3 linked regions of the Astyanax mexicanus genome follow. The protein of the gene in region 1 purifies or fractionates together with the protein of each later gene. This does not show direct contact. Links are inferred from orthologs where the notes say so. Each region holds a gene or a part of one and is shown in the gene's direction. Other genes may lie near its edges. The genes, in order: prdx5, sod1 and park7.

What was found.
Region 2: the proteins of prdx5 (region 1) and sod1 fractionate together in Homo sapiens (co-fractionation; 3 studies listed by BioGRID and IntAct, with this or other methods). This does not show direct contact. The link is inferred for Astyanax mexicanus from reciprocal best matches to the Homo sapiens genes PRDX5 and SOD1.
Region 3: the proteins of prdx5 (region 1) and park7 fractionate together in Homo sapiens (co-fractionation; 3 studies listed by BioGRID). This does not show direct contact. The link is inferred for Astyanax mexicanus from reciprocal best matches to the Homo sapiens genes PRDX5 and PARK7.

Annotation. Positions count from the first base shown.
Region 1 is NC_064424.1:15,663,585-15,671,786, forward strand, and holds the start of prdx5 (peroxiredoxin-5, mitochondrial), read left to right. Parts: upstream 1-4,523; 5' UTR 4,524-4,607; coding exon 4,608-4,700; intron 4,701-5,393; coding exon 5,394-5,528; intron 5,529-6,944; coding exon 6,945-7,076; intron 7,077-7,495; coding exon 7,496-7,534; intron 7,535-7,761; coding exon 7,762-7,826; intron 7,827-8,202. UniProt on the Homo sapiens protein: Thiol-specific peroxidase that catalyzes the reduction of hydrogen peroxide and organic hydroperoxides to water and alcohols, respectively.
Region 2 is NC_064427.1:36,970,077-36,978,742, reverse strand, and holds the start of sod1 (superoxide dismutase [Cu-Zn]), read left to right. Parts: upstream 1-5,248; 5' UTR 5,249-5,344; coding exon 5,345-5,413; intron 5,414-8,077; coding exon 8,078-8,174; intron 8,175-8,331; coding exon 8,332-8,401; intron 8,402-8,666. Other genes in the region: scaf4a (SR-related and CTD-associated factor 4), read left to right, coding at 80-163, 410-1,287. UniProt on the Homo sapiens protein: Destroys radicals which are normally produced within the cells and which are toxic to biological systems.
Region 3 is NC_064431.1:4,261,612-4,270,288, reverse strand, and holds the start of park7 (Parkinson disease protein 7 homolog), read left to right. Parts: upstream 1-5,306; 5' UTR 5,307-5,378; coding exon 5,379-5,468; intron 5,469-7,677; coding exon 7,678-7,779; intron 7,780-8,677. UniProt on the Homo sapiens protein: Multifunctional protein with controversial molecular function which plays an important role in cell protection against oxidative stress and cell death acting as oxidative stress sensor and redox-sensitive chaperone and protease.

The DNA of each region.
Region 1 (8,202 bases):
TATCACAGCACTAAATTCTTAAAGACTTCATTCTCATGTCTACCAGATATATGTTTCAAGTGATATTACTGTATCATTTTCGAGTAATTGGATACCAAACTTTATATATTGGTTTATGCACAATCGAATAGACATTTTTCCTAAGTTTGGTATCCAATTACTCGAGAATGATACAGTAATATTATGAGATTGTATAACAGTAGGACTGCAAAATTAGCTTTATGCACCACTGAACAGACAATTTTCTAAGTTTGACATCACATACATCACTCTACAATAAGATAGTGATATCACTTGATACTTATAAAATTAATAGAATGGAATGTTTCCTTAAAAGTGCAATAACAATTTGATTTGCTGGTTTTGTAGGACTCTGAAATCTGGTTTATGCACATACAATTAGACATTTTTTTTTTCTAAATTTGGTATCCAATTACTCCAGTGGAATCTTAAATCAACCAATAATCCCAGTCATTAGAATGTCCTTCAAAGCTAAAAGTGGTGGGGTGGTGTTTGTCAATAACTAGGCAGTGTGTGTGCCACACAATTTTGTTACATTTTGGAACTAAAGAAGCTTCAAATTTGACAGAATTTTAGACAAAAAATAAATGTGTTTTTCTGTAATAGTGAATCTTTTGTAAGCAAAACGCAAAGCAATTCATTTCATTTCTTCACAATTGATCCAACAGCACTCACTGCTGCCTGTCTCAGATTTACAATCTGGCCAATAGTACTTGATTTAAGGATGATGTATTTACAGAAAACGTGTTTTTTTATTATTATTATTATTTTTTTGCCACCCAGTATATTCTAACATAAGACTTTGTTTTCAACATTTACGTGTAGAATGAGTTACACTGCTCTGTGAGTTATTACCAGAGACTGTAAAAAAGATGGACGCCGTGTCTCCGTTCCCATTCATTCAATGAAAATGAAGCCAAAATCTTCCGCCATGTTGGCGATCCTGCCACCTGATTCTGCGCAGTAGAGACCAGAGGAGGGAGAAAGACTGTGGAGAGCAGCCTACTCATTTAAATAACCCCGCCCCCGAGGGCTGCCTCGCGGTCACAGACTGCAGAGCGGGGCGGAGCGGAGCTGACGGTCTGTTATTGGTCCCGCCCATAACCAGCCCTTTTACCATAACCACACGTTTTTTGAATAGAGCTGAATAATGTTTTAAAAACCAAATTCTGTGGGGATATAAAAAATTGACAATATAAGCAGAGGTTACACTAGCTGCTGCATTTAAATAATGGAGGTAGAATTACAGAATATTAGAAAAAAACGTGATTGAATGTTGTCTGTTTTGCCATTGAAACCTATGGGAATGGGTGGAGTTACACAGCTTTCTGCAGCCGAACAGCAGGGGGCGCCCGACCTGTGGTGGCTTCACTTTTAAGAGACGATGCTCTGTCCAGCTATATACAGTCTATGGTTATTACCCTTAACTTGGACTTGGATTGGCTGTTTTTCTGTGGGACTTGCAGACAGGCCTTTTGGTTAGCTGTTTTTTTGTATGTCCAGCTGACAGGCATTCTGGTTCGCTGTTTTTGGGACTAGCTGCCTAAATCTATGATTGGCTGTTTTTTTCTGTAGGTCTAGCTGACAGGATATCTGATTGGCGTTTTTTATCTGTGGAACTAGCTGACGGGCTAGATCTATGACTTGCTTTTTCTTATATGTCCAGGTGACTGACAATCTGATTGGCTGTTCGTTTTCCATGGGACCAGAGCCATAGAGAGAGAGTCGCGACAACGGAAGTTCAAAATCCTTGATGGTCACGTGATTCATGGAGATTTCAGATAGTTCCAGGAAGTTCTTGGTGGGCAATTTGAGCCCATAAACACAGAGATTGCGATTTTGGGGCACTAATAATAATATATAAATAATCCTCAATGAATTATCTATGTATAATGAAATAATATATATATATATATATATATATATATATTATTTCATTATACATAGATAATTCATTGAGGATTATTGTGACCATATATTGACTTATTTAAGGCTTATGTTATTCTGTGTGAATCCAATATTGTAATCCATAAGAGAGTTTTTATAGGCTAAATTTGTATGTTAATTAATATTAATTTCATGACACCGTGCAAATGCAGTCGCTACAAGTAAAATTTTACTTTACAAGTAAAATTTTAGGTTCAAAAGAAGATGGAGAAGTTTTGGCTTGCATATATTTAGAGTTTACTGCAAAAATAACTTAATCAAAGGATACAAAGATCTGCAAATATTCTTAAGTCACCACCTGAATATTTCATGCAGAATTATTTGGATTAAGAAAGAGGAACCACATTATTTGCAACAGCTTTATTATTTTTACAACAAACATGAGATGATATATAACTTTAAAGACTGATATCAGAATATAGAGAGGCTACATATAGAAAAACAAAGTACAGAACACATGTAAATCAACTAAAGGAAAATAGTACATTGCACATGTAAATAAACCAAAGAATCACCACAGATTACATAAAATGGGGTTTACTTGTGTAGTTCGGAAGAATGAACCCTGAGGAATACAAAAGCAGAAAGAGAATAAGAAAATTGAGACATGATTGCATTTAATACATGAATACAATTAAACATTTTGGAAACATTATCTACATTTTACTATTATTATTTTTATTTAATATAAAATGAAGACAAGAAAGATGATTGTATTAAAGTTGTTATATTTTGTATTCATTATTTACTTATTTTATATTTATATAAAACAAACAATAACACACACTTATATTTATTGGGTTTGTTTTTGGCACACTATTACTAGTGTATCTCAGAAAACCTGAATATAATGATTTTTTTTTCTATCATAGTTTAATAAAAAAAATCTGTCAAATTTTATAATCACTACATATAAAGAGACATATCCCAAACTGTTTTTGTTTTACTTTTCTAAAAGCTCATGAAAAAAAAACAGAAATAATAAATCCCTAAAATATTTAATTTAAAACTTAAAATATAAATTGTTAGATGTGTCACTGTAAGCATAATTAATACAAAAGATGACTGTTAATTAAACAATATTAAACATTTCTTTTGAGATGCACTACTATTAAACATAACTAATTATGCTATCTTAAATTACACATGCATTGGAAAGTGTTTATCCTACTGTTGACAATATAGCCTATATCCTTAATCAAACATATATAATAAAATAAATATTGGTCATATCACCTTAAATCATATCTCTGTTAAATTAGTAGTTACTAAGACAAACAGTAAGATAGCTAGTTAGCGTTAGCTACCTGAGCAATAGGTAGCTATCATTTAGCTAAATTCTGCAGTACTACTTAGTACTTAGTTTCCACAGTAGTCTGTATTTATTAAGCATTTATCTCTTGTTAGTGTTTAAAATTCTTTCTGAAATGAATAGAGTTAAGCTTTATTTACCTAGCTAGTTAGGTTAGCATGGTCTACCTGGATATATAAGATATTTATTTAGTTAGCTTAGCATGGTCTATTTGGACATACAAGATATTTACAATATTTAGTTAGCTTAGCATGGTCTACCTGGATATATAAGATATTAAGATATTTAATTAGTTAAGCATGGTATATCTGGATATATAGGATATTGATATATTAGATATTAAGATATGTACTTAGTTAGGTTAGCATGGTCTATCTGAATATATAATATATTGATATATTAGATATTTACTTAGTTAGGTCAGCATTGTCTATCTGGATATATAAGATATTAAGATATTTAGGAATTTACAACTAATAGGCTCTCAGTCATTAATGTTAAATGCCAGTAACTGTATTCGCGTTGTCCTGGCATAGATTTACTCCCCTAAATCTGCTTTTTACTAAAATGCTTCAGTGCACATGTTAGTTTGTTTCTGATGTCCTGATAAAACACAATCAGATTATTTAAGCGTACTAACCTGTAAAAGTGGACCACACATGGTGTATCCTGCTCCAGCTTCACTGTGCTGATAGTATTTGCTGCTAACTTCCGGGAACTATTGACAGGCTCCACGGTCCGCCATTGCTGTAAAAAACTGGTCCATTGGAGTGAACGGAGTTGACGCAACTCTCTCTAGCTGTATAGGTCTATGATTGGCTGTGTTTTTCTGTAAGTTTAGCTGACAGAATATCTTATTGGCTATTTTTCTTGTATGTTTATGTAATTGTTTACCTGATTGGCGGTTGTCCTGTATATCTAGCTAACAGACGATCTGATAGGTTGTTTTTTTCTGCGGGACTAGCTGCCTAGCTCTCTGATTGGCTGTTTCTTCTGTCTGTTTAGTTGACAGGGTATCTTATTGGCTGTTTTTTCTGTGGGAATAACTGTCAGGTTTTTTGATTGGCTGTTTTTTCGTATGTCTAGTTGACAGGGTATCAGATTGGCTGTTTTGTTCTGTGGAAATAACTGTCAGTTTTTTTTAGATTGGCTGTTTATTCTGTTTGTCTAGCTGAGAGACTATCTGATTGGCTGGTTTCCTGTGGGGCTAATTGACTGACTGTCTGATTGGATGCTTTTCTGAGGGATGAGCTGACTGTCAGACTGGGTGTCAGACAGGCCTCTCCTTGCTCGTGTTTTCCGTTGTTTGCTCTTCATATAAAAGCAGATGATCACTCTTTCAGCTGTACTGAGAGGAAGCCGTGCAGTCAGCTGCATCAGAGCCCTTCACACCACACTCACTGTAAACATGCCGATCAAGGTAGGAGCAGTAATTTCCGTAATTATAACTAGTTAAGATGGGTAATAGGGCCTTAAAATAGCTGTGGAGGGACACATGACGATGGGCTTAGTGTGTGTTAGAGCTCCTGATGTGTTTATTTAGTTCAGAACTGAAATACTAGCGGCCATTCTGCCTGTGAGACGCATTTTTAATAGCTGTGCAGATGTGTTTTAATATTGCAGCTGATATTTTTAGAGATGGATGTGCTAGTCACCACGCTGTAGATTAGATTAGAGACAGGCCTGAGTGTAAATATATGTGATATATTCCTGTAACAGGTAATGTTAGCCTAGATATGACTGTCTGACCTGGATAGCTTTAGCTGCTAAAAGCTACATTCAACGATCATGTGAGTAACTATTTGTTTTATAAACGACATCTTTTATAACCCGTTTCATATCCAGCTATCTAAGCACAAACTGAGATCTAGCATGTTGTCTAATAACTTAATATCACGGATTATTTCAATTAAGCACAAAATAAACCACTTTATAGCCTTAAAAATATATAAGCAGAATCGGTCCATCGTCAACAAGCGTTTGTGTGCGTTCACAATAGCGACGTGTTGCTGTCAGAAACAGATGCGGCCTCAGCTAAGCCTTTTCTCCTGAGTGGAGTGGAGTGGGGGGCATTTAGACTCAGTTTTAGAGTCTAATAATGTCTTTGTGACAGGTTGGAGAGAGTCTACCAGCTGTGGAGGTCCAAGAAGGAGCCCCAGATAAGAAAGTGTCCATGGATCAGCTGTTTAAGGGGAAAAAGGGGGTCCTGTTTGCAGTGCCGGGGGCTTTTACTCCTGGATGCTCCAAGGTAACACAGACAAACACACAAGACCTCAACACACAGTGTGTCCAAAAACTGCAAAGACATCTCTTCTACTAAAAATATCCAACTATTTAAACCCATTGACCCCCTGCTATGTCAATCAGTTATTAATCCTAATGCAGAAAAAAATAAAATATTGGAGCATTCATTTGCAGAAAATGAGAAATGGCTGAATAAAAAAAAGATGCAGAGCTTTCGGACCTCAAATAATGCAAAGAAAACAATTTTAAGAGTTCAGAAATCAATGTTTGGTGGAATAACCCTGGTTTTTAATCACAGTTTTCATGCATCTTCGCATGTTTTCCTCCACCAGTCTCACACACTGCTTTTGGATAATTTATGCCACTCCTGGTGCAAAAATTCAAGAACTTTAGCTTGGTTTGATGGCTTGTGATCATACATCGTCCTCTTGATTAAATTTCAGAGTTTTTTAGTTTGGTAAAATCATAGAAAATCCTCATCATTAAGTGGTCTGGATTTTCCAGCTATGTATATCATTTTGCTTGTGGAATCCCACAGGATTTCATGCCAGTGCCTCTGAAATTGATGTTAATTATGACGGTAATGGCATTACATGCTACAGCATCTAAGATGTTAATAAGTCCATAATAAGTCCACCCCTATCCAATCCAAAAAATTATGAACAGCTAGAGGGTTATAATGCCCACCAACTTTTGGGATTTTAGTGAAACGTAGATTGATTACTTTTCGGATGCACTATTGTCATGTTTATGATCTAGAGCTAATTCAACATTAGTACCTACTTGACATTTTAAATATTTTTTTGTAATAATAATAATAATAGTATAAATCTTCAAACTAAATCACTTACCTAAAGACTTTAAAGTTTTACCGCAACTGGTTTGACAGTTCTTGAATTTTAAAGTTGAGGCTACAAAAACATTTAGACTAGAAAATCTTGTATGGGAATTCCATTTAAAATGTCCTACTTGGAACGCAGTAACTCTGACATCCCAGATCAAATCGATCACAGATCTATTTCAGAAGAAATGGTATTATCTGGATATTTAGGCTGTATGAAACTAAAGAAATGTTGCCTACTCAGACAAGAAGCTCCTCAGTCATGTCTGAATTGAAGTTCAATAATTGAACCTTCTGTTTTATTGTGTGAAAATGCTAATGAATAATGTCAAAACAGATAAAGCGTCATTACTTAAAAAGTCAGGACATATGGTTCCCAATTGGATTTGGATACAGAGACCCTTTTTACAACTAGCAAGACATTAAATCAGCATTTCTTGCATTTTAGAGACAGAAATAATGTCTTTTCTCTAGAACACTAATTAAAAAATACAGAATACATATATATGAAAACATTATAGTAATAGTCTTCAGTGTAACCATGTCGCTGTGGTTCTGACACATCCCCTGTCTCACCAGACTCACCTCCCGGGGTTTGTGGAGGAAGCTGGACAGCTGAAGAGTAAAGGCGTGCAGGAGGTGGCCTGCATATCTGTAAATGACGCTTTTGTCATGGCTGCATGGGGCAAGGAGCATGGCACTGATGGCAAGGTAAGTCAGGCAGCCAGGCAGGTTAAAATAATGAAAATCTAATGAGAACAATAGTCTGTTTAGTTTACTGTTGGATCCAGGGCAATTATGCATTATGACTCATTGCTGATGTCAGTTTCTCATAAGGAAACATGAATTAGTTGATGAGGAAACAGACGGTGGGTTATGAGATGCTGGAAGTGTTTTCTTTAACTACCAGTTGGCACACTGATTGCATTTAATGTTTCGTAAGCCATTTTTATCAGTCAGTTTCCTTGTGAAGTCTCCAATGTTTCTCAATTCCACCGCAGTTGTCCTAAAAAAAATAGACAATTGATGATTGAGTCATTGTGGTGAATGACTGTAGAGACAAGGAAGCTTTTAACAATAAAACTGACTATTTAAAACTTCTATTTTAAAACCCCTCTATTTTATTATAGGTACGAATGCTGGCAGATCCTACCGGCGCATTCACTGCGGTAAGAATGTTCATACTTTTGATATTCCGTCACTCAGATTTGTAATCAGTTCTGTTGACAGAAAAAATATTATGGAAACTCCCATGCATGTAACCCTTGCCAGCCCAGGATTGAGCAATAGGATTGTGTGGTTTGTTCTATATTAGCCACTTGTTCCTCATACTTGCAGCTTTATATCATGTATTGATGTCTAAATCAATTCTAACTGCTTCTTTCTACTTTTGCAGGCAGTTGATCTCTTTCTGGATAATGATGAAATCCTCCAAGTTCTTGGCAATAAGAGATCCAAAAGGTAAGAATCTGTAAAATGTGTATATATTAACTGATCCTAGGTTTACTTTGGGTGGTAGATGCCATGTTATAAGAGGGGAAATAATTTTGCTTGAAATTTGAAGAATACTGCACTGGCCTGTGGGATCTTCTGCTAGACGCCACTGGTCACAATCATTAATGTCATTATGCCGAGACATATTCCTAGTACACGCATACATACACTAACATTTCTCAATTTGCAATGTTAATCACCTGCAGAACTTTGAAAATATAGTCACATCCTGATGGCACCCACTACCAGGCCTTCACTTAATAATTAATGTCGTCTCACCATGGCATGCTGGCCTGTGTCCAAACTAACACCTTATACAGGTGTCTGCATTTCAGAGCAGTCC
Region 2 (8,666 bases), on another chromosome or scaffold:
AGTAGTTTTCCAGCAGCAGTAGATTATTAGATTATTATTATTATTATTATTCAAACTTTCTTGTGTCTTTCTACTGCAGTTGGCGGCTCAGGAGAGGAACAGCCTAATGATCCAGGCTCCAGGATGAACAGGGAAGGAGCTGAAGGATTCAGTGCCATGCAAGGTAGGTGTCTAGTAGTACTGGTAGAATTGTGTCTGGATAGGGGGTGGGCGATATGGCTCTAAAATAAAATAGACTACTTTTAGGACAAAAAATCTCTATCACGATATGTTTTTTTAATATAACGATATTTTTTGTTACGATATATTGTATACAATATAATATTGCCCACCCCTAGTCTGGATGCCTGTATTTATGGCCATATTAAAACGTTATTAAAATGTTTATTAACTTTTTTTGTTCTGACAGGGATGAACATGCAGAGTCCACCAGGGCTCTTGGGTTCAAGACCAGGTATGATGCCTCTCCAACGTCCCCCAGGGATGCCCCCTCCACACCTTCAGCGTTTCCCCATGGCTCCACGGCCAGGCATGCCCCCCATGCCTCCACAGATGATGGCTCCCAGGGGCCCTCCTCAGATGATGCATCATCGAGAGCCTCCACCAAGTGGATTTGGCATGCATCCCCCTCCACATGTCATGCGAGGCCCTTTTCCTCACCCAGGGCCTCCGTTCATGAGGCCTACTGGCCCCAGAGGACCAGACGGACCTGAAGATCCTGAGGGACGGCCCTTCAGGGGTGAGCATTCCGGGCCGGCCCGGGAGCGAGACAGGGATCAGGAATGGTTTGGTGGACGCAGGTCGTTTGGCGAGGGCCGTGGAGGGGACAAGTTGGAAGGGCGGGAACGCTTCGGGAGCTGGAACGAGGAGGCAGAGCAGAGGGGTGGGTGGGACAGGACACGGGAGCGCAGAGACTGGAGAAGGAGTCCGGACGGAGAGAGGGAACAAGGACGAGAGCAAGGTAGGGAGGGTGAGGAGCGACCCAAACGCAGAGACAGGGAATCGGGAACGCGAGAGCGAAGTACCCGCTGGGACAAGGATGACAGACTTGACAGACTGGCTAATATGGGCACTCAGTCCAACGCAGGCAGTCAACCCAACGGACATGAGGCGCTCGGAGACTCTAGCAGCTCGGAGCAGTCTAGAGACTCTGCTAAAGAACTTACTCAAGCCAAGGCAGAAGCTCCGCCCCCTCCCACCGAAGTGACTGCAGAACCACAGCCCTCTGAACCGGCAGCAGAAACTCAGAACCAACCTGCAGAACAAACAAAGACAGACGAATCATAGGCTACGCTTATCCCCTGGACTGCAATGCCCATATGATATTTGTTCTTTTTGTTTTCTTACTTGACAAGATGCACATGTTTGTGTGAACATTTGCCTAAACACCATTTAGAATGGTAATGGAAAGACATGAGTATCAAGCATCACATGGGTTCAAACCTGAAAATAAAGGCCAGATATTTAAGGTAGAAGAACATCGGGTAAAAGCCATGTAGATAGTATGTTTATTTTACATCCATGTCCTGGCTAATCTTGGACACTACAGGCTAAAGAGGTGAAACGATGCAGAAACAACTTGATTTATATGGTTTGTGGTCCTATAGAAATAAATTATATGCCTTGTCCCCCTTCTAAAATGTCAAAATCAATGATCCTGTAATTGACTTTTAAGAGTCTGGCTAACATGGAGCACTGCTCTGTAATCAGTGTTCCATTGTGGAGCTTGAATGTTGCTTTAAACCAGTGTTTCCCAGTCCTGATCCTGGACCACCCTTGCACTGCTCTATTTGTTTTTTTTTTCTGCTCACACACATTTGTAGATTAATAAACAACTTGTTTATTGGTTAACAAGTTAAATCAGAGGGGTAGGACCCAAGGAAAATACAAAAAATATTCAGTGCAGATATACTCTAAGTCTAGAGTGTGCACCAGTCATTCTAAAAAGGTAAATTAAAAAAAAGAAAGAAAAAGAAACACATGGGGGTAAAAATTTAAGAAGGAAATAATCTGCTGTAAATATGCTTCCACTACTCAAATGACCTTTGTAGATTTGGAGGTAAGGTGTGTTTTTGAAGTATTCCCCATGAACATGGAGAAGATAGGAAACCTTGACTAAAATAAGAGACAAAGACCCTTTTGCTGTAATGTTTTTAACTTGCCATGTTTACATCGTGCGAAAATGAGATGTTTGTATAATTTTTAAGTTTGTGGAGATGTGAACTTGTTTAATATTTCAGCAATAGGGATTTGGTTTTAATAAACTATTTTCATACCAAAATGAACAAACTGACTAAGCACTTGTTTTTTCAGATGCTTTAGTTTTAAGGTTCTTTAACTGAATGATTTCCTCATCTGAATTTTTCATTTTGTGTGGACTGTATGTTCTCTGGCGATGTGTAAATTTGATTTACTACATGCATATTACGAAACTTATTTTCTTACATTGTGACATACTTTTGAATTATTTACATTACATTTTTAGAGTATTCAGAAATTTTGACAAACAGTAAATGAAAGTGATGATTTTTTAAATCTTTTTTTCCACAGATGAGTCAATTTTCATATATTTTTGTTCCTGAAAAATAAGTAATTGCATGAGTTTGAACCACCACCTAGCATATTCTGTGTTGTTTGTCTTCATAGCAAATTTGTGTTGAGTAGGATGGGGTTATAGTGACCTTCAGTAGATGTATTTGTCGTGCAAATGTTTCACCAGCACAAATTCTTTCCTTTTATTTACTTGTGCTATATTAGAAGGCAGTAAATGAGTGCCTGTTGTTATTAACAGAAATTATACGTAAAGGCAGACCATTAACAGTGCACTTGATACAAAACTAAACTTATTAGTTATTAAATGATGTAAACTATGTTCATCCAAATGCTGCAGTATTTCACAAAGCGAGCATTGACAGGCTGACCCCCCCCCCCCCCCCCTCCCCCCCTTTTTAACCTCTGCAGCAGTGCTGGCAGAACTTGTATGTCTCTTTTCAAAAGCCAACCTCTGGATATTACGCTGAACATGTGAACTCAACTTCTTTGGTCGACACTTGAGTCGATCCTCTCCAGTTAAACTGCTCTATGGTTTTAGCCACCAAGCTGCAATTTAAATTTCAAAGCGTTGGCAATCTTATTATTTCCCAGGCCATTCTCATAGTTCTTTGTCATGAGGTGCCATGTTGAACTTCCAGTAACCAGTATGAGAGAGTGTGACGGTGATTAAAACCTAAATTTAACACTCCCGCTCTCCATTCACACCTGACACCTTGTGAAACTAACTTCTCACATGACATTGGGATAGAAAATGGTTCATTGGAAACAATTTGGTCAGTTTCACTTGTACTCACTTTTGTTGCCGGCGCTTTAGATATTAGTTGCTGTGTGTTGAGTTATTTTGACTACTTGACACTCACTTGTCAGATACTGTAACTCTTAAGGAGAAGACAAATCTTCATAACTGAAGGTCAGTGTAAAAAGATTTTTTATTTCAGGTAATTTTGGAGAATTTGAATTGGTCTTTATATCATGACCGTGTGACTCAGTGAAAAGATTAAAAAAAAAGTAAATACAACAAGTAGAGAAAAAAAATGGAGATCCTAAGTTTTTGTTTGACAGCAACAATGTGAATATAAATGAGGGAAGTGATGACTTTTAAAGGTAATAATAAGAGGAAATGCTAACTGATGAAAAAGGGAACAAGTTTAACCACTATTCCGTTGTTGGGTAGAATCAGTCAGTTTATAGAGAGCCTGCTCACGTCTTGTATCACCTGTTATATCAGAAATGACAGCAGAATACCCATGAGTGAGTCTAAATTGTTGAAAGGGTGTGAATTAAGTTAATTGGCTAAAATCAGCTTAAAATAATAACCAATCACAATTTTGAAAATTAATCAGGTTTTAAGCAGTAAAGGTGTTAGCATTACAGCTACTGTGGTTAGTGAGCTGAAGCTGGAGATACAGCCTGAATAGCAAGTTTAAAAGGTTTATAACTGCCGTTTAAAAGCATTAAAAATAATAAAATAACACCTGCAGTGCTGAAACATTTGATATTGCTCTCTAAAGTAGCTAATGGTAATGCTAACATTACATTCATGTAATGTTTTGGATTAGCCAGTCTAGCACACACAGCAGAAACTGGTTAATCTGGTCTTGTTAAAACTGTAAGCAGTCTACTTTCTGCTGTACGTCAGACCTATATCAGATCTTTATCATTTTCACACTAATTATTTATTTGTTTTGAATAAAATTTGTCAAAAAATCGATCGATATTTGCTTTTATTGTTTTTTTTTTACAGCTAAGATGTGATATATTAACAAATTCCTAATAAGGAAATCATGCTATGCCAAGTAAAATTATCTAGACTTCTGAACCTCTAAAAACTCTTTAATAGTAAGTTATTACACCAAATGTTTATTTAAGACAGTTTAACCAGAGTTTAGAGAAGATTCTGGATCTGAAAATTACATATTAAAATAGTGGACAAATACATGCAGAGTTTTGTACAAATAATAGTTACTTAAGACAAGGGATTTGTTCAGGTCCGTTCATAATTAAAAAAAGAGTGAAATCTGCACTGCATTTATTTTGTTGTAGTCAGGTTGTATTTATCAGTGTTGTTAATGGAAAATAATTAATCCTAAATTTGTTTGTAAAGCTGCACTGACTTTGGACTTGATATAACACAGTGGACCAACACTAGCAGAAGACTACGACTCTTCAAACCATCAGATGTGGGTTTCACTTTTAAGCAGGACTTGGCACATGGCCCACACTGCCAAAACCAAAGGGTTTGTATAATATTCTAATTATAATCATTTGAGACACTAATTAAGCCATAATAATCAACAATAAAAGAACGCTTAAAATATATAATTCTGTGTGTAATACATCTATATAATAAATGAGTTTCACATTTTTAACTAATTACTGAAATAAAGTAACTTTTCAATGATATTCTAATTTTTGGAGATACACATGTATTATGTATTTATTCATTCGTTTATTTGCTCATTGTTCTTTTTACAGAATGTATGTTATTTATGTTATTTTAATATATAATTATGCCTTCCCTAAAAAAATCTGATTTAAAATAATAATTTTTTTATCAGATTATATGAGCTAGCAGTCGACGCGCTATCTTTTCGCTTGAGCTTCTAGCCAATCATCATCACCGGTCTAATTTATGCCTGGCCTCTTAGCCAATCAGCTGCCCCGCTGCGATCCGCGGTTGTGATTGGCTGGAGAGAAGTACGTCGCTTCTCGCCTTATCAAACAGCGCTGGGCGGTGAGTCGGGTTTTTGAGCTCAGTTCAGAGGGTCAGTTCTACAGAGCTCTGATAAACATGGTGCATAAGGCTGTGTGTGTGCTGAAGGGGACCGGAGAGGTGACCGGAACGGTGTTCTTTGAGCAGGTAGATGAATAATTGCGGTGTTTTACACTTTTCTGTGCAGGAGTGCGCGAGCTGGCTGTGCTAGCTAACCTGCTGAGTTGCTGTGTCAACTCGGCGCGAGCCCGCAGACTCCGAGCGGTGTGCACTGCTTCAGCTGGGTTACTAGCTAATGCTAACTAACATGTTAGATAATACCCGGGTCTTTAGTGCTTTAGAGCGCGTCCTGCAGGTTTTTTAATCACCAAACCTGATTTGTTGACGTTTTTAGCTCATATAAGGACAGTATCCGGTGTTCTGTCGAGTTATGCTACCATGTCAAAACCGCGCTACCTTAGTGTAAGTTATATTTAACTGGAAAAAATACAAAAAAAGAACAATTTTAGAGAACGTTCCCAGCAGATCTCTCAGTAAGTTAGATGCGGGTTAGTATATTTGAACAGAATAAATCACTGTATCATGTTAAAGTTATGTCAATGAGAGGTCTTTACAAACTGCTTTTGTATTTTCTTTTTCAATAATAGTAAATTGTATTTATTATTATTGTCGATTTAATTTTGCGCTTTTGTGCAATGCTAGCGAGGCCAGATTGTTTACCGCACAAAAAATTATTCATTATAAAGAAAAAACAGAAGAAATAATTAAATGGTGTAGGTCAGCGCATGCGCAGTGCCTTTAGGAAGCATATCTCGATGGGTAGCATAACTTGACAGAACACCGGTGTAGCTCTGCTCCTCCTCCGCTAGCGAGCCCCGTGGTTAGCAGCTATGCTGTGTGGTTTGCTAAGTGTTTTGTAACGAGCGCAGCGGCATTTCATACAGACCTTGCTAATCCTGCTGCACCTTTCTGTGTGTTAATGCAAGCTAAATCTCCTGCTCCATAAATCTCACTTTAGTCACAAACACGGGAAAACTATGGTTTATATATTTAGTTCTAGTTAAATCAACTAGGTTAGGTTACAGTTTATGCTCCTCGTCATTAAACATAGCACTGCTAATTACCTAACGTTACATGTATCATAGTATTAGCTCGACTAACTACTGTTGGATAAGTGTAGTAATAAGTAATAGCTGTGTGGGGAAAAGGCATAATCACCAGATCAGAGTTTAAACTGGGTAAAAGGGAGTTAACCTCTGCACGGCCGCAGACCCAAGTCCAAACTTCTTGCTGAGTCATTTGCATCGTGCGGTTAATTCATCCAAAAAAACGAGTTTGCAAGTTGAACATGCACAAACTAAACAGCCTAGAGCTGGAGCATTGCGTATAACTCGTTTTATTAAATAATATCACGGTATTTCGTGGTATTTTTTTTATTCTCGATAACGATACAAAATAAAAATACAAGAATTCTATCAAATCTCATTGTCATTGTACTATTTATGCACTCCAGATATCTCCATATATCCAGGACTAAAGTAAATTAAATGATACTGGACAGATATTATCTGTCTCTAGTAGATACATATAATGAACAATGAGAACAGTGTGAATGTTTCTTTAAAAGTACTACCCTAATGTGATAAGAGGTGGGTGATACGGCACGATATTTCCAGGTATAATAACGTTTACGATATTCAAAAATGTTGGCGATATAATTGTGAATGATACAATATGACACACCCCTACTCTTTATAATTGTTTAACTGATATATATATATATATATATATATATATATATATATATATATATATATATATATATTAAGGGTGGATTATCTAACTATATAGGAGCTAGTATTCATCTTCTATCTATCAATAAAACCATGTCACAGTTGTAGCTACAAAGCTGTGAGTAGTTAACATTAGCTTAGTTAGGTTATCAATTTAGAGACTTTAAAATGTGCCCTCAGTTTAACAATTTATAAAATAGTTTTTAATGAATTTAAACAATGCACTTTTCTATATTTCACAATAAATTCTGTCATTCATTTTAACAGACTATACTTTGATATGTATATCGGGGATATCATCTATATATATATATATATATATATATATATATATATATATATATATATATATATATATATATATATATATATATATATAAAATGTGTGTTTTTTTTTTTTTTAAGTATATACATATAGTGCAGATAAGATAAAGTCAGATAAGTTATGATTATGGTAGATTGTGACCAGTATTATTGCACAAGGACTAACAGTGAATAAATAGCAAATGAATAGTAGATGAAAGGTGAGAAATATTGCACAGTAAACATATTGCACAAATGGTGATAAAGAGAACATGGTACACATGGTGAATTTGCACATTGCACACAATACAGCTATACTGAGCAAGTAGTTTTCATGTAGTAATAAAATAGTAAACGAGTGTTTACTGAGAGCATGGTGTGTTGTACAGTCTGATGGTGTGTGGGAGGAAGGACTTGCAGTATTTCTCCTTCACACACTGCTGGTGCATGGGTTTGGGACAGGTTCTTTAGCATGTACTAAAACTTAGACCTCAATCTCCTGTCTCTCACCACCTCCACTGGATCCAGAGGACCCCAGGACAGAGCTGGGCTTGCTAGTTTGGTATTGCACAGTCCTGCAAGGTCACTTTTGCATATGCATGCCAAAAGATGTACAGTACTGTGCCATCCTGTACATTTCTGTTCCTAGAGGTAGCAAATGTGTAACAAAACGTGTGTTTGTTAGAGACTGACAGTAAGTGCTCTGGTGTTTCAGGGTGATGGTGCTCCAGTAAAGGTTTCAGGTGAGATCACTGGCCTCACTCCTGGCCTGCACGGATTTCACGTCCATGCTTTTGGAGATAACACAAATGGTGAGTTTTTTTTTTTTACCCTCTGATGTATTAAAAGCTTAATTACAATTACTGAGATGTTTAATAATACTTTCACTTCAAAATCAGATCATGTCACTGTGATGTGTTGCTTGAAGTATGCTCACAAACAGTAATGACCGTGCTGTTTTACTGTTAGGTTGCATCAGTGCTGGGCCACACTATAACCCATACAACAAAACCCATGGTGGACCTACTGATGAAATCAGGTATGTGTACTTTGTATTTACCCACAGAAAGCCTACTTTCTTTGTACTGCTCTTCATGATTATACAGTGCCAATTGTTGCACATGTCCTGACTTGCATACCGACACACTGTAAAATCTGCACTTGGTTTCAGTGTAACAAACTAATTTAAAATGCAAGTCAGATAAACACTTCTGCACTTATGCACAGTCATATGACTGCTTCAGACACTACTTTGTTTGAAAAAGTAACTAATCTTTTCTAAGCTAGGATTGTAACATAAATGA
Region 3 (8,677 bases), on another chromosome or scaffold:
ACTGGAGTATTTTTTACTTCACTACTGTACTTAAGTAATAAAATGCTGTATCTGTAACTACTGGAGTATTTTTTTACTTCACTACTGTACTTAAGTACTAAAATGCTGTATCTGTATCTACTATAGTATTATTTTTACTTCACTACTGTACTTAAGTACTAAAATGCTGTATCTGTAACTACTGGAGTATTTTTTTTACTTCACTACTGTACTTAAGTAATAAAATGCTGTATCTGTATCTACTGGAGTATTATTTTTACTTTACTACTATGTACTTAAGTACTAAAATGCTGTATCTGTAACTACTATAGTATTATTTTTAATTCACTACTGTACTTAAGTACTAAAATGCTGTATCTGTATCTACTGGAGTATTTTTTACTTCACTACTGTACTTAGGTACTAAAATGCTGTATCTGTATCTACTGGAGTATTATTTTTACTTTACTACTATGTACTTAAGTACTAAAATGCTGTATCTGTATCTACTGGAGTATTTTTTTACTTCACTACTGTACTTAAGTACTAAAATGCTGTATCTGTATCTACTATAGTATTATTTTTACTTCACTACTGTACTTAAGTACTAAAATGCTGTATCTGTAACTACTGGAGTATTTTTTTTACTTCACTACTGTACTTAAGTAATAAAATGCTGTATCTGTATCTACTGGAGTATTATTTTTACTTTACTACTATGTACTTAAGTACTAAAATGCTGTATCTGTAACTACTATAGTATTATTTTTAATTCACTACTGTACTTAAGTACTAAAATGCTGTATCTGTATCTACTGGAGTATTTTTTACTTCACTACTGTACTTAGGTACTTAAATACTGTATCTGTATCTACTATAGTATTATTTTTACTTCACTACTGTACTTAAGTAATAAAATGCTGTATCTGTAACTACTGGAGTATTTTTTTACTTCACTACTGTACTTAAGTACTAAAATGCTGTATCTGTATCTACTATAGTATTATTTTTACTTCACTACTGTACTTAAGTAATAAAATGCTGTATCTGTAACTACTGGAGTATTTTTTTTTACTTCACTACTGTACTTAAGTAATAAAATGCTGTATCTGTATCTACTGGAGTATTATTTTTACTTTACTACTATGTACTTAAGTACTAAAATGCTGTATCTGTATCTACTGGAGTATTATTTTTACTACACTACTGTACTTAATTACTAAAATGCTCTATCTGTATCTACTGAACTATTATTTTTACTTCACTACTGTGTACTTAAGTACTAAAATGCTGTATCTGTAACTACTGGAGTATTATTTTTGCTTCACTACTGTACTTAATTACTAAAATGATGTATCTGTATCTACTGGAGTATTATTTTTACTTCACTACTGTGTACTTAAGTACTAGAATGCTGTATCTGTATCTACTGGAGTATTATTTTTACTTCACTACTGTACTTAAGTACTTAAATACTGTATCTGTATCTACTGGAGTATTATTTTTACTTCACTACTGTACTTAAGTACTAAAATTATGTATCTGTATCTACATAGCTGAGCGAATCAAGCCATGATCTTATAAGCTGCTGTCTGTCTGCAATATGATATTTAAACATTTGACTTTCTGTAATAACTACATAACACATTACTGTACTTTCACATTCAGTACTACAGTACTATTCGTACATTTTAGAATACTTTAGTACAAAAAAATATACTTTCTACAGTATACTTAAAGGTACTTCCACTTAGTTGTGGTTGCTTAAAGAGCTCTTTAACTTCTTTGATCGAACACTTTTTTTACTCAGATCTGGGTCTTTACTATTGTATACATGTCTGCTTTGAGGCACCACTTTAGCATTGTGCTAACTACATGTGCAACAGTAACAATACAAGCTTTCACCACACTGTATATCAGGGTCAATATCAATATAATGTGCCTTTTTTATCTTAGCATAATTGTTTAAATTTCATACAAACACTGTGTAACACTACCTTTTTCAGAATTTAAAACTTTGACTCTGAATGATTGATAGATAGATAGATAGATAGATAGATAGATAGATAGATAGATAGATAGATAGATAGATAGATAGATAGATAGATAGATAGATAGATAGATAGATAGATAGATAGATAGATACTTTATTGATCCCGAAGGAAATTTAGCAGCCAGTAGCAGTTACACAACACAGTCGAAACAAACAGTACACAGTAGAAACAAACAATAAGTATTATAAAATAAAATAAAAGAGCACAGTGAGGAATATAAGACTCTAAACTATAAAATTATAAACTGAGACTTAAAAATATATACATAAATATATAAATACAAAAAAACTATACAAAGTGTGAAAGTAATCAGTCATAGATATGAGGTAGTGCAGTAAAATAATAATTTAAGTATAGAAGGTATCAGCAGATATGACAATATTAAACATAAACCTGTGCAAGTATTGAATTTAAGTAAGGTGCGTAGTGTAGTGTCCAGGAGTGCAAAAGTACAGGATGTACAGTAAAGTGACAAAGTGTCCAGGGGTGCAAATGTACAAGATGTACAGTAAAGTGTCCAGGAGTGAAAAGGTACAGAGTGTACAGTAAAGTGCCAAGTGTCCAGGGATGCAAATGAACAGCACATGAGCACATTATTACAAATATAGAGGAATGGTAATCTCCACATAATCAGAAGTTATTTATATATTTTCTACAGTTTTTGATACAATTTTATATATGTAGGATTTTGCCATCTCCACAGGGCAGCCAGGTCATGAACATATTTTTTAAGTATGTTTTTGTATAGTGAATCTGATTGTGGTTGGATGAGAAGTATAAACATGTACCATTCCAAAACCCTGTTGGTTTTAGCAGGTATCCAATCAGAAGTCATATTTTTGTATCGAGACAACACCAGTAGGAGGAAGTTGTGAAATTGGTAAAATACATACTGTACTAAATACAGGTAGGCCTCACTAGTAAAAAAAAAAAACCTGAAACTCATTTCAGATGCTCACTACTGTCTCTGCTTGGCCTTGGAAAGTGCCTGTGCATCATAACCAGCGCCGCAGCAGCCAAGACAAAGTTGAGTGTACGTGGTGGATGCATCTGCTGTGGCTAATTCCACGCCGCCGTCCTGCGCAGATGGTTCAGCGGGTGAATTTGCATCGTCAGTGTTTCGCAGCCTAATCCGGGGCCTTCACAGGTTACCTGGTTTACAAGCAACTTTAATAGGCGTTTTGCATACTATAAGCTCCTTATATAAAGGCAGGGTGGGGTGGAGGGGGCAGAAATAAATAAATAAAGCCTATGTTTAGGGAAATGAGCTGATGTGGAGCGGCGCGGTGGGCTCGCAGAGATCCCAGCTGCATATGCTGGTAAATCGCTGCTGCCTGCTGGATTTGGGCACGGGCACAGTGTGAGCAGGCCGCTGCCAGAACCCCACGCTTCGGTCTAATCTGCTGCTGTATAGCACTGTGGTCTGGTGCCTATATGGGCGACTGAGCATCTGTCTGTCTGTGTGTGTGTGTGTGTGTGTGTGAAGCGTGCAGAGCCATGCTAAACATGGGAAAGGTGCCTCTACAATTTTACAGAGAGAAGGAGTGAGGAAGTTTCTTTTTGAACATTCAGAAATACTGGATGAATATTATATATATTTTTTTATTTATATGATTGAGTGCTAATTGTGTCTAAATTTACTGTTTTTGTGATGTTGCATGTATCGGCATATTCGGTATAAAGCACTATAGGTATCCGATATACACATTCACACTAAGAAAAATAAGTACAGATTTGCACTTAAAAGCTTGTCGATGGGGCTGTACCTTATATTAAAGGAGAACTCCAGTGTAAAATTGACTTTAGGTGTAGTAAAACATGATAAACCACCACCGCTCTCCTACAGCTTTCTGAGCGCTGGTAATTTTGTGCTTTTCCCCAGCACTCTAATCTTTACTGGTATAAAAAAAACATGTACAAAAAAGACCTCACTGAAAGATACTCTATTGTACTTTAAAGGAGAACTCCCACTGCCCACCACCGCTCTCCTACAGCTTCCTACAGTTTCCAGCACTCTGTACAAGAGCCGTATCGGGGCATATTTCGGCTCTATACCTCCTTGGTAGAATCCGGAAAGCCCTAACATTTAAAATGTGGCATTAATAATTAAAAAGTGCACAAGAAGCAGCTCAGAGTGCTGCCATCACTGTAGTATATATATATATATATACATTCATAGCCTGCCTCCTGGAACCGGCTGCTACGCTATGCAGAGTATATGTATATATATGTCTGTCATTATCAGTACAGTGATGGCAGCGCTCGGAGCTGAAGCTAGCATTATGCGATGTATACAGTGTTTTTTTGGGCTTCTTGTGCACTTTTTTCAACTTTTCAAGGTATTAATGCCTTATTTTAAATGTCAAGGCTCTCCAAGGATCTAAAAATAATTAGAAGAAGTTCATAAGAATTTCATCATAATGTGATTTACTGATTGATTTAAATCTTAAAGTTAACTAAACAGTAAGCCTACAGTTCATAAACCACAGTTTTAAATACTGCCAATTCATTTAGAACTGATTTGAAAGCAGGACCTGTTTTATATCATAGCCTGCACTGCACTCTGGTGGTCAGATTTTTGGTGGTCTGGTGGTCGGAAATAAACCACAGGACTCATCTTCCCTGTATTAAAAGAGAAATAATATATATATGTTACAACCTTTAAATTAACCTATAATAATAATAATAATAATAATAATAATAATAATAATAATAATAATAATAATAATAATAATAATAATAATAATAATTAAGAAAGCACTCGTCAAATAAAAAAAAAGCAAAATAATTTCTTAAAATGTTCTAGTGACTTGAAAAAAAATGGCGAAATTATGTATAGAGTAAACTGAATCTGAAATGTCTCCATTCAAGTTGCCATATGATAAATTATGTCATTATACGTCAAATTAGGTATATCAGTCATTTTAATCGACAACCAACTACGGATGTCAGACCAAAATAGCTTACTATAATAACATTTAACAAATAAATGTATAGATTCTGTCTCTCCAGAGCAAAAAGTACAGGAGCCCGTCTGAATTTTGAATCTTTTATATATAAGGTCATTAACAGGGTTATTGTACTGCTGTTACAATTTTATAGTTTTTTTTTTAACGTTGGGAGTATTAGGACATGATAAATATTGTTTAAAACCCGTATTAACTAGCATTTGTATAGTAGAATATTGGGCCTAATTTCTACTATTAACCTCAAACATCTGAGGGACTTTTGTCTTGCCCATGTGTTTTTCCATTCTCCCGGAAGACAGGACTTTTATTTTGTTTAGAGAAGCTTCAGCCCACTTCTTTGCTCTGTTCTCTGTAGGGGAGACTGCTCTGCTGAAGCATGGCTGCTAAACGGGCTCTGGTGATTCTGTCGAAGGGCGCAGAGGAGATGGAGACGGTTATACCTGTAGATGTGATGCGGAGAGCTGGGGTTAGTAGAAGCTTAGCTTAGCTTAGCTTAGCTTAGCTGTCAGGGCTGTCTAATAGCACTGGGTGCTAACACAAGTGGGGAATAGCCACTGCAAGAATATTTAAACTGATTATTTAAGTGCAATATAAGTGAATAAGCTTTAATAAAAATATTTGGATTGTGTCAAAAGTGATAAACATAAATAAAGGCTTTGTATAGGATTTTTTCCCGTTCCACCTTAAATGGTGAAGCGGTTACGTTCACCATTTAACCCAGAACGTAACACCATTTAAGGTGGAACGGAACATTTCCACAAACCAAAATACTCTGTGAAGCATTTGGCTGGACTATTTATTATTAAGGTAGCTGTTAACTTGCAGTTTCTCAGGCTGGTAACTCTGATTAACTCTTGCTATTCCTTTCCTGGGATGGTCCTGATGAGTGCCACTTCCATCATCATAACATTTTTAATAGTCTTTGCAACGACTGCACTTGAGGATATTTTCTTGAGAATAAGTTCTTGAAATATTTCAAATTGACTTACCTTCATTTCTTCTTGAAGCCATTTTTAAGCAAGTCTTTTCTTAGTTGAGTAGTTCCTGCTTCTCATAATATGAATTAGAACATTACTTAAACAGCTGTTAACTTTACTTAAAAGCCTAAATTCCAGGTGACTCTATCTCATAAACCTGACTGTGCAAAGCTGTGCCCACATCAAATGTTCCACCTTTTTTAAAAGAGTGGACGGCATGGCATAGCAATAATAATCATTGACTAACCAATTCTGGCTTTGTGATTGGCTTCAGTCTAAAATGATTGACATGTCCTCTGCCCTTTGCTTACGCCCACTGGCTCTCTGGCCTGCACCAGAGGTGTTCAGTCAATGCAACTGCATGAGATTTCATAGTAACAGAACAAGGAATCGTCTGTTCCTGTGATGCACATAATATTTTCTTTTTCCATTGCGATGCATTGTTACACCCCTGTTATTTGAAGACCTAGCTGGTCAACCTGAATGCCAACATGAAGCCCAAGTATGTCCATAAGAAATCAAATAGTGCTTACTGCATAGACAATGCTGTTTAACCAATTTGCTTACCATAATAGAGTGTATTTTAGACTGGATCAACCGTATTTCAACCATTTTGACCATCAAATGCCAGCATAGACCATCTTAACCTAGATACTAGAAGAAAGACAAGCGTGTGTCCAATATAAAATGTATCAGGTCACAAAAACAGACCCATGTCTGTCAGTTTCTGGCTCACAGACTGACTGTATGTACTCTGGACAGTTGGCAGAGTGTGGAAGAGGAGTGGAGTGTAGCTAAATGTCAAAGTTTGCTGCTGCTGCTGTCATGGTGAGATAGGCTTTCATTTACAGTGCAACTTAGCCTCCTTCATTAAACTACATATAAATAAGCATGAAGGGCTCTTCAGGGTATTAATCAAGGATATTAACAGTCTTTGACACAAACTTTTCTGCAGTTCCATGCATCCAGAAAGGCTTTGCACTTGACACTCAGTGTTTACTTTAATTTTACTGTATTATTTAAGTATCAAAGACAATACACATTAATTGGCTAATTGTCATTTGCAGTCCATGGGCAGATAGATATTATATAAGAGGATCAGTCTCACAAAGCACTTGCGTTCAACACAATTTAAAATTACAAATAGGCCGGTCACGATAAGAATTCACAGAAATTATTGCGCTACACGATATTTTTGTAATTTTAAGACTATTAAATGCCCCTGACATAACAGAATAGCATAAAAAAAGCAATTATACACTTTTTAAAGACAACACAATTTGAATTAATCATTTAATACAGGGGTGTCCAAACTTTTTTTGTTGGGGGCCAGAAGGAGAAATATATGTGAAGTCACAGGCCACAGACTCTGTAATAAAACAAATAATGAAATATACCACTTTAAATAATAAATTTTCCTGATTACTTTCATTTACACACCATTTTACTTGACTTACTATCTTTATCTATCTTTGACAGTGTTGTGTAAACTAAGATTTTTCAAATTGTTCTTTCATTTCATGATGTCTCTTAATATTAAACTCCTTAATTACGGCAACTTTTAGACCCTTTTGCCCTTTTTCTGCGCTACAACTGTGCACTCTCTGAAGTCACGGTTATTGAGGCATGACAAAATACTGTTCACTGTTATATATATATAAATATGTTTATGCTTCTACCTCTTTTACTGTCTCACAGATTGCTGTTACAGTGGCAGGATTAACAGGGAAGGAACCAGTCCAGTGCAGCCGGGACGTCCTTATCTGCCCAGATTCAAGTCTAGAGGAAGCCTCTAAACAGGTACGAATTTCTTAAATTCCATTGTAATCCATTGTACTGTACTCTGGACAGTATTGCATTTACTAATGATAATGTTTGAGATTTTCAAATGGAATTTCACTCTTTTTAATACCTCTATATAAGTGGATCACATAGCTGTAAACAAAAAATTAACTTGCAGTGGTTTAATGTGAAATGACGATTCAAAATGATCAGAAGCATTTATAAGGGTAACTAGTGGTGGGTGATATGGTCCTAAAATAATATCGCGATATTTCATGGTATTTTCACGATAACGATACTCCTGGTGATATAACAAAACACTGCGTTAAAAAAAATAAAATGTTTCAAGAATACACCACTGAAACAAAATTAAAAAATTATTGTATTAATGCATATGCTATGGCACACCCCTAACTGAGATTTAAACTGAGAATTTTATCAAATATGTAACAGAACACAATGATCCAGAATGTTAATGTACTAAAAATGCACTCCAAATATATCTCCATATATCCAGGACTAAAGTAAAATAAATTATACTGGACAGATATAATCTGTTTCTTGTAGATATATAATGTTAAAAGAGAACAGTTATTTATTTCTTTATTTTTTTTGATAAAACAGCAAAAAGTAGTACCATGATGTGATAATTAGGGGTGAGTGATATGGTGCGATATTTCAGGGTATACTATCATTCACAATGTTCAAAAATGTTGGCGATATTATCGTGTATGATACGATATGGCACACCCCTAAGGGTAACGAGGTAAATCTGAATAAGACATAAGAATTTTAATCTGTGTAGGGTCTTATTGGCTCTATATACATTTGTAAAATAATATTTAATTTAATTTCAAGCAGCTGATGGCAAGCTGCATGTCCGGGATTCGAACCAGTGATCTGATCATGGGGGCAG